3 linked regions of the Callithrix jacchus genome follow. The main gene of each other region encodes a partner of the protein of the gene in region 2 in a complex. Links are inferred from orthologs where the notes say so. Each region holds a gene or a part of one and is shown on either strand. Other genes may lie near its edges.

Region 1 (4,146 bases), on a different chromosome or scaffold from region 2:
GCAATGTTTACCTGTAAGTTTTTACCTACTCTAGAGTACTTAACAGTTTAGCGTGGAAAAAATTGAAAAGCAAAAATTGCAAGGAAACAACATTAGAACCCAAGTAATTGCAGCGTGATACTAAGATAGCAGTGTCTGACGAGGCAATCAGACACCGAGGACAGCTCTCTAAATTCCTCCCTCTGACACAGTGGAGAGCCGGGCTGTCTTTTGAAGACAATCCCTCCTTCCCGAGCAGCTGGGGCCTCTTCTCTCCCTCTCTTCCAAAGGCGAAGTTAGTCCACTGAAAGCACCTCTTTCCACTCTCAGTCGTGGCCCTTATCAGGCCGTTTTGTAATGTTTCCATTTGCTGACTGATCTCCCACAGTGAATTTTAAGCTTCTTGGGGACAGGGAAAATATCTCACTCACTTGGTAACCCTGGTATCTAAGCATACTGTCCAAGTCTGTGGAAGTGACATTCAAAGCCAGTGTCAAGCAAAATTCCTGTCCAGCCCCCACCAGCCCAAACTATGGGTACAGTGACTAGTAATATCAAGTGTGTACTTCAACAAATACTAATCAAGTAATCTCTATAATGAGCACCAAAGACGGAGAAAACAACTGTTTCTGTCATTCAAGAACCAGCTGTATCCAAATCTAGAGATGCTTGTTAAAATGCAAATTCCTGAATCTACTGAGGCAAAGGCACTATACATTACATTATAAAGTTCTCCAGATAATTTCTATAAGCAAATGGTTCTCAACTAGGGGCAATCCCCCCTGTCCTCCCCCACCATGCTCAGGGACAGCTGGAAATATCTGGGGACACCATGAACTCTCATGACTGAGGAAGGTGGTGCTACTACTATACTAGTGAGTACAGACCAGGGATGCTGCTAAACATTTTACAATGCACAGGACGGCCCTCCACAACAAATGCGTCCAGGCCAAAAAGTCCATGGAAGTTGAGAATCTCTGCTATAAGCCCTAAAATAAAAAAAATTTAAAAACCAGCAACATTGTTCTTTGGCCTTAAAGTGAGGAGTTTTAAAGAAATCTCCCAAATATAGCAAATGAGAACCAACACCTACATCTAACCAAATGATGGAGTGTAGATTATAATTTATCAGGGATTTTTTTTTTATTCTAACATATAGAGAATCTGAAAACAACTGTCAAAGCCTTGAAGGGGTTGCCATTCTAAATAACGGATTTCTAGCCTTGGCCATGAAAATGATCACTTTACAATTTTTCAGTACTAAAGATCCCTCTGATGATTAAAATCTGTTAGTACACTTTTAAAAAAGAGAATAATCCAAGTGATGTAAACATATTTTTAAATTCTAATATCTACTATGCCACAGTTCAGTGAGAGGCTGCCTGATGCAGCACAGAGTACTCACTTGGGAGGCAGGAAACCTCAGTTCTAATCCCAGCTCTGCTACTTAATTGGCTGTGTGACTTGGATAACTCATCTCACCTCTCATGGCCCCAGGTTCCTCATCTGCAAAATAAGGGGGCTTTGCTAGATGACCACTTAGGTCTCTTCCTGCTCTAACATTCAGGCAGTCTACTGCAGTTAACTCCAGTGATACACACTACAGACATAAGCCTCTCAAGATTTCTGCACAATATTCAAGCAAGTAAAACTGCCAACCACCTCTAAAACTTTTTTGGAAAACACTGCAGCAATGTGCATGAAAGCCTAAAGACCTTATGGATGACAGCATCTATCTGATAATTTCACTTCTGAGAATCTAGTCCAAGGAAATAATCTACAGGATGGGGGGGAAATGTTTATCAAAATATGATCTGGGATGCTAAGATGATGCAAAAATTCAAAAACAACCAAATGTCCCACAGTCGGGAAATGACTGAATAATTTATGGGACCTACACTGGGATCCACAATGATGGGCCAGCCACTCAAAAGAAGATACAAAATTAGAATAATATTTAGGAAGAGTTTTTAAATGGAACTGGAAAACTACACTGTTAAGTAATTAAACATGAACAGTCCTAGTCCAAGTAGACGCTGGTACATACAGGAGAAAAAGATGGCAGGTGAAAGGGTTCAGCGAATATTATTTTCTTCACTAAAGTCTTCTATGTTTGCAATTTTTCTACAACAGTCACGTATTACTAAGAGCAGTAGGGTGGGGTAATTCCAATCATCCTAATCCTACACACCTTAAACAAAAATGCCCGCTATTCACGCGCCGGGGCACAAACGCGGACACATAGAAAACCTCTGGCGATAGGACTTAAGACCATACAAGGGGTTCCCCGACTAGACAACTCGGTAATTCAGGTTAGTCCAGTCCTTAATTCCTGTGGTTAGGCGCAGCCACTCCGATGTAGGGTAGGCTTCGCAATTCTCTGAAGCCTGGAAGAATCCAGGCAAAGCCTAGGCCTAGATTCGGGATCCGCTTTCCCGCCGAATCCTGGGATTAGCGCTGGGGTTCCCTTGGGGAATTTCGATAACCTCCGAACAACTTCGTGCAGTCTCGAACGCCAAATCGACGCCAGCCGGGACGGTGCCGCTCCTCTCGGCGCAGTGTAGACGCCTCGCTGACGGCGGTTCCAGGCGCCCACCAACAGATCACTCCCGGCCATTACGTGCACACAGAGCTTGGAAGCGGCATTTCGCGGGGACCCACCACCCAGCAGTCCCTCCCCGGAGCCCCAGCCCGCTCCCCGCAGGCCGTTTCCGAGGCTGCTCGGCTCGCGCAGCCACGCGGCTCACCTCGTCGGCGGGATCCAAAATCCTCACTACAGGTGCCCCAAGAGCCCGGGCTCCGCGGACTTCATCGAATCGAAACCGAAACCGGCGAGGCAGCGGTACTTTTCTGCCTCAGCCAATCAGTGTTCTTCTCTGCTACGGCAGCCCGCTGGGGCCGAAAAGGCCGGTCCGCGCCAAAGCGCTCAAATCCAAGAATCCTGGTTGGTTTGTCCAGTGGCGAAATTGGTGCAAAGGAATTCCTCTAACAGAAATCCGGATACAACACAAATACAATTCAATACAAAACAAAAACAAAAATCCAGAAAGCTAGAAGTGATCTTTTGGGCAGGATTTATTTGCAGTGTAAAAAATAACTTGAAGTCATAGAAAACTGGAATTTACAGTTTTAAGTAACTGCCGTGTGTACCCAGAAACGTCCTTGAATAGTTTAAAGCAAACAAATAAATAAAACAAACACCTCAAGTCTTTAAATCTGCCTCTGGATATTGATTAAATGTGTGAAGACTTAAGCCATTTTAGCAAGAGACTGTTTCCATGGCAATGTTAATTGATACGAAAATAATTAAAACCACTCAAGTAACTCCGAATTATAATGACGTTAATTGTGTTACATTATAAACTAGTTCCAATTGAAAATGGTGTGCAGACATTAGCTAAGTGCTACCTGTGGGAACTTGGTTTGGAATTTTGCATGAATTCTCAATACTCTTGCTATTAATAGGATTGGAGAGGAAAAAGAAGAGAACAGTCACACCAGGACTTGGTTCCTTTTTCCCTGTCACATACTTTCATCAGCTGAAAACTTATACTTTATTTTATTTATGATTTGTAACACTATACACAAAGTGATAAGATCTTCCAACACAGATCCTTAACTCCATTAAGTGTTATAAAATCTAAGATGCAGAATGTTTTTCTAAGATAAAGAGTTTCTCCCTTGTATCCCTCTTTTGGCTAAAGGCAGAAGAAATGAACCCTTGGTATCAGGGACAGAAAGCAACTGGATGTGATTTGGTAAAGAATAGAGACTTCCTTATATCCTTCTACAAAAGCTCAGTTTGGGTAAAGACAAAACCGTTACAGACTTATTAAGAGGGCTGTATTTGAAGTTCTTGCAATATAAAATATAATGTAAATAAAAATTTTAAGAAAAGTGCCATTAAAATTAAATAATTAGTTGCAAAGAACAAACATGATAGGATAAAAAGCCCTGTCCCTAAAAACATTCTTTGCAAAAGACATCAAATTGCACACTCCCTACTGGTTGTTTCAATTATTCAAAAAACAGTAAGTTTTTGATTCAAATTTCTTTCCCTTTCCTACAGACCCCTGATGGAGCGATTAACACTGGTGTGGTGGGTAGGGAGCCATGAGGAGTTTAAAGGCCTCGTTCATCTGAGGAGCAGCTGCAATCTTCTCCAAA
Region 2 (4,156 bases):
ACCTAATACTGTTGTTGTGAGGCTTAAGTGATATCTATGACGGCTTAGAACAGTGCCTTTCATATAATATGTGCTACATAAATGTAGGTTAAAACACACATACACAAAAAGGAGTTACACAGCAAAATAATCATGACTATTCTTTGTTCCCTCAAAATCAAACTGCCTGACCCAATTTCAGGGTATGGGCTCTCAGGGACTTTAGCTTTATCTCAAATATTATGTAATCGTTGGAAAAACACTCACTCAATGTCTACCATACACTAGTCAGAATGCTAAGTAGAGGTGTAGGTTAATGGGAAGATTATGAATTTAGCACAGGTTGAGTTTAGGCTGCCAACTGGCCAGTAAGATGAATATATTTAGTAGACAGTATAAAACGCTGGTTGAAAGCACTGGCTTAGCCAGGCACAGTGGCACATGCCTGTGGTCCCAGCTATTCAGAGGCTGAGGGGGGAGGATGGCTTGAGCCTAGGAGTCGGAGGTTGCAGTGAGCCAAGATCGTGCTACTGCACTCCAGCTTTGGCAACAGAGTGAGACTCTGTCTTGAAAAAAGAAAGCACTGGTTTTGGAGTCAGGCAGTCTGGGTTCAACTCCTGGCTGTGACCTGACTCTAATGAACTAAGATTAAAAATCATGCCATCTGTAATTCTGATTCTTCATTTGTAATTGAGGAGGCCACAACCTTCCTTCTGGGTTCTTGAGAAGTTTAAAGTAGTTAATGTATTTACAACAGTGCCAGGTAAACAGAAAATAGTAATAAACGGTTCCTACTGGCTGGGCATGGTGGCTCACGCCTGAATCCCAGTACTTTGGGAGGCTGAGACAGGCGGATCACCTGAGGTCAGGAGTTGAGACCAGCCTGGCCAACATGGCGAAACCCCATCTCTACTAAAAACAGAAAAATTGGCCGGGAGCGGTGGCTCACGCCTGTAATCCCAGCACTTTGGGAGGCCGAGGCGGGTGGATCACGAGGTCAAGAGATTGAGACCATTCTGGTCAACATGGTGAAACCCCGTCTCTACTAAAAATACAAAAACTTACAGGCATGGTGGCGCGTGCCTGTATTCCCAGCTACTCGGGAGGCTGAGGCAGGAGAATTGCCTGATCCCAGGAGGCGGAGGTTGCGGTGAGCTGAGATCGCGCCATTGCACTCCAGCCTGGGTAACAAGAGCGAAACTCCGTCTCAAAAAAAAAAAAAAAAAAAAAAAAAAACCAGAAAAATTAGCCAGGCATGGTGGCACGCGCCTGTAGTCCCAACTACTCGGGAGGCTGAGATAGGAGAATCGCTTGAGGAGGTGGAAGTTGCTGTGAGCTGAGATCTATTGTGCCACTGCACTCCAGCCTGGATGACAGAGTGAGATTCTGTCCAAAAAAAAAAAAAAGGAAAAAGAAAAGAAATGGTTCCTATTAGTATTATTAAAGAACTGCTGGAAACGTCGGTTTTAGAGGTCAGGGCTAGGATGACTTGGGGTCGAATGGTTGCAGCCATTAAGAGAAAGACTATTCAAGTAGATCTTCATTAAGTACATGAGGCCAGTGGAGGAAGGTGACTGAATGCAACAGGCTCTAAAGCTTCAAAAGGTCAGATGAGAGAAAAAACAAAACCCTGACTCGACTGATCCCTACTTCCCTAGTTCAACAGGTGTTTGTTAAAGGATCAGATAACCAACTGTTAGATTATAACGATATAGAAGTCACAATCTCCACTCTCAAGGAGCTCATTGTAATGTGGAGAGGCATACAAATAAATAATTAAATACTGTCAAAATATGCACACGACAGAACCCTACTGCTACCTAAGCCTCTGTCTACGATGCCCACTGTAGCTTTAAATATTGACTTTTCAAAGAGGCCTCATTAAGTAAATATTTGTTGAGTGTTTCCAGCACTGTTCTAAACCCTAAGGACAGAAGAAAGAACAAAACAAAAAACCTGCTCTTATGGCACTTAAATTCTAGTGGGAAGGGTTATACATTAAAAACAGATGCATATATTTAATACGAAATAATAATGCGCTCTGAAGAAAAATGAAGCAGGGTAAGAAGAGTAAAGCGTGTGCTACTGGCGCAGGAGAAGTCCTCTCTGAGGAGGTGAGATTTCAGTAGAAAGCTTAAGAATTTGTGGCTTGATCTCCAAAGATATTTGAGGAAGAGAAAGACAAGGTGAAAAAGCTTCTAGGGCCATCTGTTATTCTGCAAACTAGTTCCTTGTTTCCTTCACATCACATCACAGTTCCTATGTCTCCTACATATTTATATTTACTTTTATCTGTTCTCCTCACGAATATAAGCTCCAAGTAATGGCAGGGATCACTTCTATGTCGATGTCAGTGTCCCTGGCCCTTAGAATAGTGTCTAACCATACAAAGCTGAATTTCACTAAATATGCTAAATGAATAAATAATGGTTGCGCTCAGTAATGATATGAACTTCTAACTTCATCATCAGGCTTTCTATTGGAATCCTAACAGCTCCGTGAGGCAGGCAAGGATAATAATTTACAGATTTAAAAAAATGAATTGAAGAGTGTGATGAATAGTAGTCAGGTGGGCTTCTAACCGGAAAAGATCTCAGGGCCTGCAGCAAAATTCGGAGCAGGGGGCGGTTACGGAAAGGACGGGGCGGATTGGACCATGGTGACCTGGAAGGAGGAGACACGACTGGCCATTTTTCCTAAGTTTGGGAAAACCAGCCCTAGTACGCGAAGCTGCTCGAAGCGACCCCCTTAAAGTACACTCACCTGGTCTACGTCGTCCGCCATGTTTCAAACCCTGCGCTCTTTCCCGCTTCTCGCGAGAACACAAGAGCAACGCGGATCTCCGGAAACAGGAGGATATAATACACCGGAAGTAGAGAGAAATCTGTTTTTCTCCTTCCTGCTTCCTGTGGTTTTTGGTGGCCACGGGTATCGCCGGAGCTTCCTTCGGGGGCGTGGCTAGGCCTCCAACTAAGGGACAGGGCTAGACGCGCCCGCCTGTGGGCGGAGCCCGCGCTCTGGTGCACAGCGGCCAGGTGCGTCACTCACGAAGTGGATTTTGCCCCGAAGAACAACATGGCTCGGAAGCGCGCGGCCGGCGGGGAGCCGCGGGGACGCCAACCGCGCAGCCAGAAGTCCAAGGGCAAGAGCAAGGCCCGGCGTGAGGAGGAGGAGGAGGGTGAGAGCGAGGCCCAGCGGGCTTAGCGGGAGACGCCGCAGCAGGGCGGAGGAGGCCGGGAGGCTGGGGTGGGAGGCCAGACGTGGAGACAGGATGCAGTTTACTGCGCGTCTTCCACGCCGCGGGGACGTGACGGCGGCCGCGGGAGCAGCTCGGCAGGCCGCGTCCGGCCCTCCGCTCTGTCCCTGTCCCTTTGTCCTCCGCACGCAGAGCGATTCCTCGGGAGCCTCGCCCGACCCAAGCTCATGCGTAGCGTTTTTCCGCTCCGGGTTGCCCAGAGGATACAGCGCAGATGCTCAGGGCTGAAAGTGGAGAAGGCAGTTATTTGGGTCCCAGGAAGGCAGACAGACGGACCAGGACGTAGAGTGATGCAGTGTGGTGACTCCCGAATGGTCACTTAAGCGGAGTCTCACCCGGAGTTCCACAGTGGGATCCCACCTGACTTCCCCACGTGAATATCGGATAGGCTTCTTATGTTTGTCACAGGCAAAGCGGAGCTCATGGTTTTCCCCTTTAAATCTATCCTTTCCTCCGTTTTTCCAGTCTCAGTACTTGTTATAAAGCAAAGCCTGCCTTTTTCTTATGTGCACACATCAGTCCATCAGCAAATCCAGTCAGTTCAGCCTCGGACTGTATCTTAAATTTGTCCACTTCATTTCCATGGCCATGGCCCCTGTCCAAGCCACCATCACCTTTCAGTTGAGTGACTGCAGTTTCCTCTTTATTGGCCTCCCAGTTCTCCATCCAGCAACCCAAATAATCTTTTTTTTCTTTTTTTAATCATGCCGTGTTCCTATTTTAAACTCTCCTTGGCTTCCCATTGCTCTTAGCTTAAAATCCAGTTGGCTTAACCTGGCCTGCAAGATGCTACATGTTTTGGCTCTTGCTACCTCTCCTGTTTCTCCTACCACTTGTTTCCTTGCCAGATACCCACCTTATTGGCCTCCTTTCTCTTCCTCAAATATGCCAAGTTATTTCTTGAGTCTTTTCCTTTGATGT
Region 3 (4,229 bases), on a different chromosome or scaffold from region 2:
CATGATCTCGGCTCATTGCAACTTCCACCTAATGGCTACGAGCAATTCTCCTGTCTCAGCCTCCCGAGTAGCTGGAATTACAGGTGCCTGCCACCACACTCAGATAATTTTTGTATTTTTAGTAAAGCTGGGGTTTCACCATGTTGGTCAGGCTGGTCTCGAACTCCTGACCTCAGGTGATCCGCCTGCCTCGGCCTCCCAAAGTGTTGGGATTACAGGCGTGAGTCACCACGCCCAGCCATATTCTTATTTTTACAAAATGCTATGTGCAGGCCGGGCATGATGGCTCATACCTGTAATCCCAGAACTTTGGGAGGCTGAGGCGGGCAGATCACCCGAGGTCAGGAGTTTGTGACCAACCTGAACAACATGGTGAAACCCCGACTCTACTAAAAATATAAAAGTTAGCTGGGTGGATCACCTGTGGTCAGGAGTGCGAGACCAGCCTGACCAACACGGTGAAAACCCATCTCTATTAAAAATACAAAAATTAGTCAGGTGTGGTGGCAGGGACCTCTGATCCCAGCCACTTGGGAGGCTGAGGCAGGAGAATCGATTGAACCTGGGAGGGAGAGGTTGCAGTGAGCCAAGATTGCGCCGTTCCACTCTGGCTTGGGCAACAAGAGCGAAACTCCACCTCAAATAAAAAAAGCAACAACAACAACAAAGGTTATGTTCTAGGCACTGGGCAAACAGCAACAAACAAAGGAAAGGGGTATATTGAAAATATCCTTTTCCAGTAGGAAAGGGGAAGAGTAGGAGGGAGGATGACAGAAAACAAGCAAAATATGTACTTGCTGTCATGTGCTATAGAAAATAAAAAGGATGGGCCGGGCATGGTGACTCATGCCTGCAATCCTAGCACTTTATGGGGCTGAGATGGGTGGATCATGAGGTCAGGAGTTCAAGACCAGCCTGGCCAAGATGGTAAAACCCCATCTCTACTAAAATACAAAATATTAGCCAGGTGTAGTGGTGGGCGCCTGTAATCCCATCTACTCGGGAAGCTGAGTCAAATATTGCTTGAAACCAGGAGGTGCAGGTTGCAGTGAGCTAAGATCATGTCGCTGCACTCCAGCCTGGGTGACAGAGTGACACTCTGTCTCAAAAAAAGAAAAAAAAAAAAAAAAGAAAGAAAGAAAGGATGGGCATGTTGGCTCATGCCTGTAATCCCAGCACTTTGGGAGGCCAAGGTGTGTGGATTGCGTGAAATCCTGTCTCTACCAAAAAAAAAAAAAAAAAAATTAGTAGTGTCTGTGGTCCCACCTACTCAGGATGCTGAGGCAGGAGAATCACTTGAGCCCTGGAGGCGGAGGTTGCACTAAGCAAGTGGGCATCAAATGGAGATTCTAAAAAAAATAAAATAAAATAAAGAGAGAAAGAAAGAAAGTAGCAATGTGGGTTCCAGAGTACAGGGTATTGCAATTTACAATAGGGTGGTCAGGAAAACCCTTACTGAAAAAGTTATATTTGGGCAAATATTCGAAGGAGCTTAGTAGAAGGAGATTGCTCTTCTTCCCTTGTAAACATTTGGGAAGAAGAGCTATCCCCGCAGAGGGAGCAGCAAATGCAAAGGACTGAGGCGAGGCTTGGAAGAGAGTGTAACTGGAGCCAGGTGGGCAATGAAAAACTGGTCAGAGAGGTAAAGGGAAAGAGGGCAAATGATTACAAGAATTTTGGTTTTTACTCTGGGTGAAGTAGAAAGCCACCAGGAAGTTTTCTGCAGAGGATAACGTGATCCGATACTTAGAAGGATTCATCTGGTTATTGGCTTGGTAACAGGTGCCGGTCCAAAGGCAGAAAGTAGACCAGTTAGGACCCTACTACAAAAATGCCAGTTGAGGTAACAATGGCTTAGGCCATGAGGCAGTGATGGAGATGGGAGAAGTAGCAATTCTAGATTTATTTTGAGGACGGTGCCAGCAGGATTTGTTGAGAACACGAGAAAGAAGACACTCATATTTCCTCATGTGAGCCTAAACAGGACACTGGAAGTGTGATCACGATTTCTATCTTATAAAATAGTTAGGAGCATGGTTTCTCAGTTCAAAATCTGTTTCTATCATGTACTTGGTAAGTTTGTTTTTCCATCTGCAAAATGGGTTAATAACCTTCCTAACAGGCTGCTACCAAGATTAATAGATATTTCACATGGGAAACACTTTAGTACAAGGGTCCAAGAATGTTAGCTGCTATTTAATTGTTAATAATACTAGCGCAGAAAAATAAAGGGAAAAGCAACCAACCCCAATCATTTCCCTTCTTTCCTCCCTCCCTCGTTCATTCTACAAACTTTTTTGAACGTTTGTTCTACGCTAGCTAGATCCATGTGAGTTAGGATGCTCAAACCCGGGCCCGGGTTTTGAGCCCAAGGTTCTAATTCAACTCTACTTCTAAAGCCACCTCACAGGGCAGTCGAGAGGCTGAAAACGAGCGCCAAACAGGGGAACATGTACGGAGTATCCGCAAACTATGGGGCGCTTAGTGTTTATGTGCTTTAACTTTAGGGGGAAACTCTCGTTCTGCCCCCGCAATGCGGGAAAGGGTCGGTGCAGGGCCACCAGACACAGCGCTTTGAAGGGAGAGGAAGATGAGCTGAGGGCCAAAGGCCGCCTGCTTCTTCACTTACCGCTTGCAGCAAAGCTCCCGGTGTCGTCTGCTGCTGCCCGGCTCCGGGGCCCGACCCCGTCGCTCCCAACAGCAACTCATGGCGCTGCCGCTTGACTGGGACCAGCGACAACTCCGGGCCCTTACGCTTCTGCTGTTCTATCATGGCGGAAACCGGTCTCTTCAGCGCCGCCACCGAACGCGCTACAGCCCTCAGGCGCCACGCAATTGGTTTCAACTTAGTCCTTCCTCCACAACTTCCAGCTTGAAGAACCAATCGGCTTTCAATATTCCCATTTGCACCGCCCTCCAGATAGTCTCTTGTTACTGGGCCTATCTTTCTGACGTCATGAGAGCGCGATTCCAGGATTGGTGAACGGAGCTGGCGACCTTCCTAGGCGCGCTGGGTGTTGTGGGTGGAAACACGCAGGTTGACTGGGTTAGGCGTTTACTTCAACGCCGCGATTTGGGGACCAGGAGCTGACGCCTAGTACGTATGAGGAAGAGCGGGGTGGGTGGCTGTCTGAGTCTGGAGGCAACGCCTCTGTTGTGCAGTCTGAACCTGCCCTTCTCAGCTGAGGGTGCTGATAGCGAGGGGTGGGAGGCGGGCCCCGAGTCCCCAGCTCTGGTAAGTAGTAGCCTGGGCTCCCTTTCCGGGCAGGAGCGGAGCCTTGGGGTCTCGGCGGCAGGACCGAGCCCCCGCGGCTCCCTTTTTCAAGAGCGCCCATCGTGGCCAGTCCTGTGCCGGGCATTCCCAGGGAGAAGGGCCTGTGTCCAGCCTCCACCGGTGCCCTATTTGGCCGAGGAGGCTGACTTGTTTCTGCCACTGATTTTGCAGTTTTTGGTTAGGGCCTACTCTATGCCCCGCTGAGAGAGACCGTGATGAAGGAAATGTCCGGCTCCTTCTCCAGACACAGTCTTGTTGAGAAATTTGACTCATGCCCGTGAACGTGGTCATTTCCTCAATCGTCCAGCTGATATTTATTGTGCAGCGCGTTGGGGATACGTTGTGAACCAGGCACGGTCCCTACTCTCAAGGCGTTTAAGTCTGGTGGGGAAAACGTTAAACAGTGACCTCACTAATACATGGAAGTGCCTCTAGTGCTGCCTGATGCAGGTTTTTCAGAGGAAAAGATGCCTGCGCTGGTAGCTGCAGGAAGAATTGGAATTAATTAGGTGAAGAGGCTAAGGCAGAACCTTCCATAGAGAACTACTTGTTCATTTTCCTCCCAAGCCCTGAGGCACTCGGGAGGAAAACGGCCTAAAGCACAAAGAACCAGTGTGGCCGGTACAAAGAGAATGAAGGGGAGTATGGCACAAGATGAAACTATGTGATAGCGGTCAGACCTTGCAGAAATTTGTAGCTTTTATTTTAAAACGGATGAGATACCACTGAGCCGTCTTCCCCCAGTGGGGTGTGGTGGAGGAGGGGGCTTGATTCCTCGGGCTCAGTGGTGTGAACAGATTGGGGTTGAGGAAGCCCTTGTGGCTGTATATAGACCACTTAGGATATGTAGTAATTCTTGTTAGAGATGTCAGTGAGGACTGAGACCTGGGTGGAACTGCAGAGAACTGGACAGATTCCAGAGGTATATAGGAGGTAAAACGGGTGGGACTTGGTG

What was found.
Region 1: LSM3 (region 2) and LSM6 share a complex: the UniProt entries of both Homo sapiens proteins name them as parts of the precatalytic spliceosome. The link is inferred for Callithrix jacchus from reciprocal best matches to the Homo sapiens genes LSM3 and LSM6.
Region 3: LSM3 (region 2) and SNRNP40 share a complex: the UniProt entries of both Homo sapiens proteins name them as parts of the U4/U6-U5 tri-snRNP complex. The link is inferred for Callithrix jacchus from reciprocal best matches to the Homo sapiens genes LSM3 and SNRNP40.

The regions. Positions count from the first base shown.
Region 1 is NC_133504.1:50,820,498-50,824,643, forward strand, and holds the start of LSM6 (U6 snRNA-associated Sm-like protein LSm6), read right to left. Parts: upstream 2,804-4,146; 5' UTR 2,171-2,803; intron 1-2,170. UniProt on the Homo sapiens protein: Plays a role in pre-mRNA splicing as component of the U4/U6-U5 tri-snRNP complex that is involved in spliceosome assembly, and as component of the precatalytic spliceosome (spliceosome B complex).
Region 2 is NC_133516.1:71,157,597-71,161,752, reverse strand, and holds the start of LSM3 (U6 snRNA-associated Sm-like protein LSm3), read right to left. Parts: upstream 2,805-4,156; 5' UTR 2,764-2,804; coding exon 2,743-2,763; intron 1-2,742. Other genes in the region: XPC (DNA repair protein complementing XP-C cells), read left to right, coding at 3,055-3,157. UniProt on the Homo sapiens protein: Plays a role in pre-mRNA splicing as component of the U4/U6-U5 tri-snRNP complex that is involved in spliceosome assembly, and as component of the precatalytic spliceosome (spliceosome B complex).
Region 3 is NC_133508.1:67,930,878-67,935,106, forward strand, and holds the start of SNRNP40 (U5 small nuclear ribonucleoprotein 40 kDa protein), read right to left. Parts: upstream 2,804-4,229; 5' UTR 2,774-2,803; coding exon 2,630-2,773; intron 1-2,629. Other genes in the region: ZCCHC17 (zinc finger CCHC domain-containing protein 17), read left to right, coding at 3,104-3,235. UniProt on the Homo sapiens protein: Required for pre-mRNA splicing as component of the activated spliceosome. Component of the U5 small nuclear ribonucleoprotein (snRNP) complex and the U4/U6-U5 tri-snRNP complex, building blocks of the spliceosome.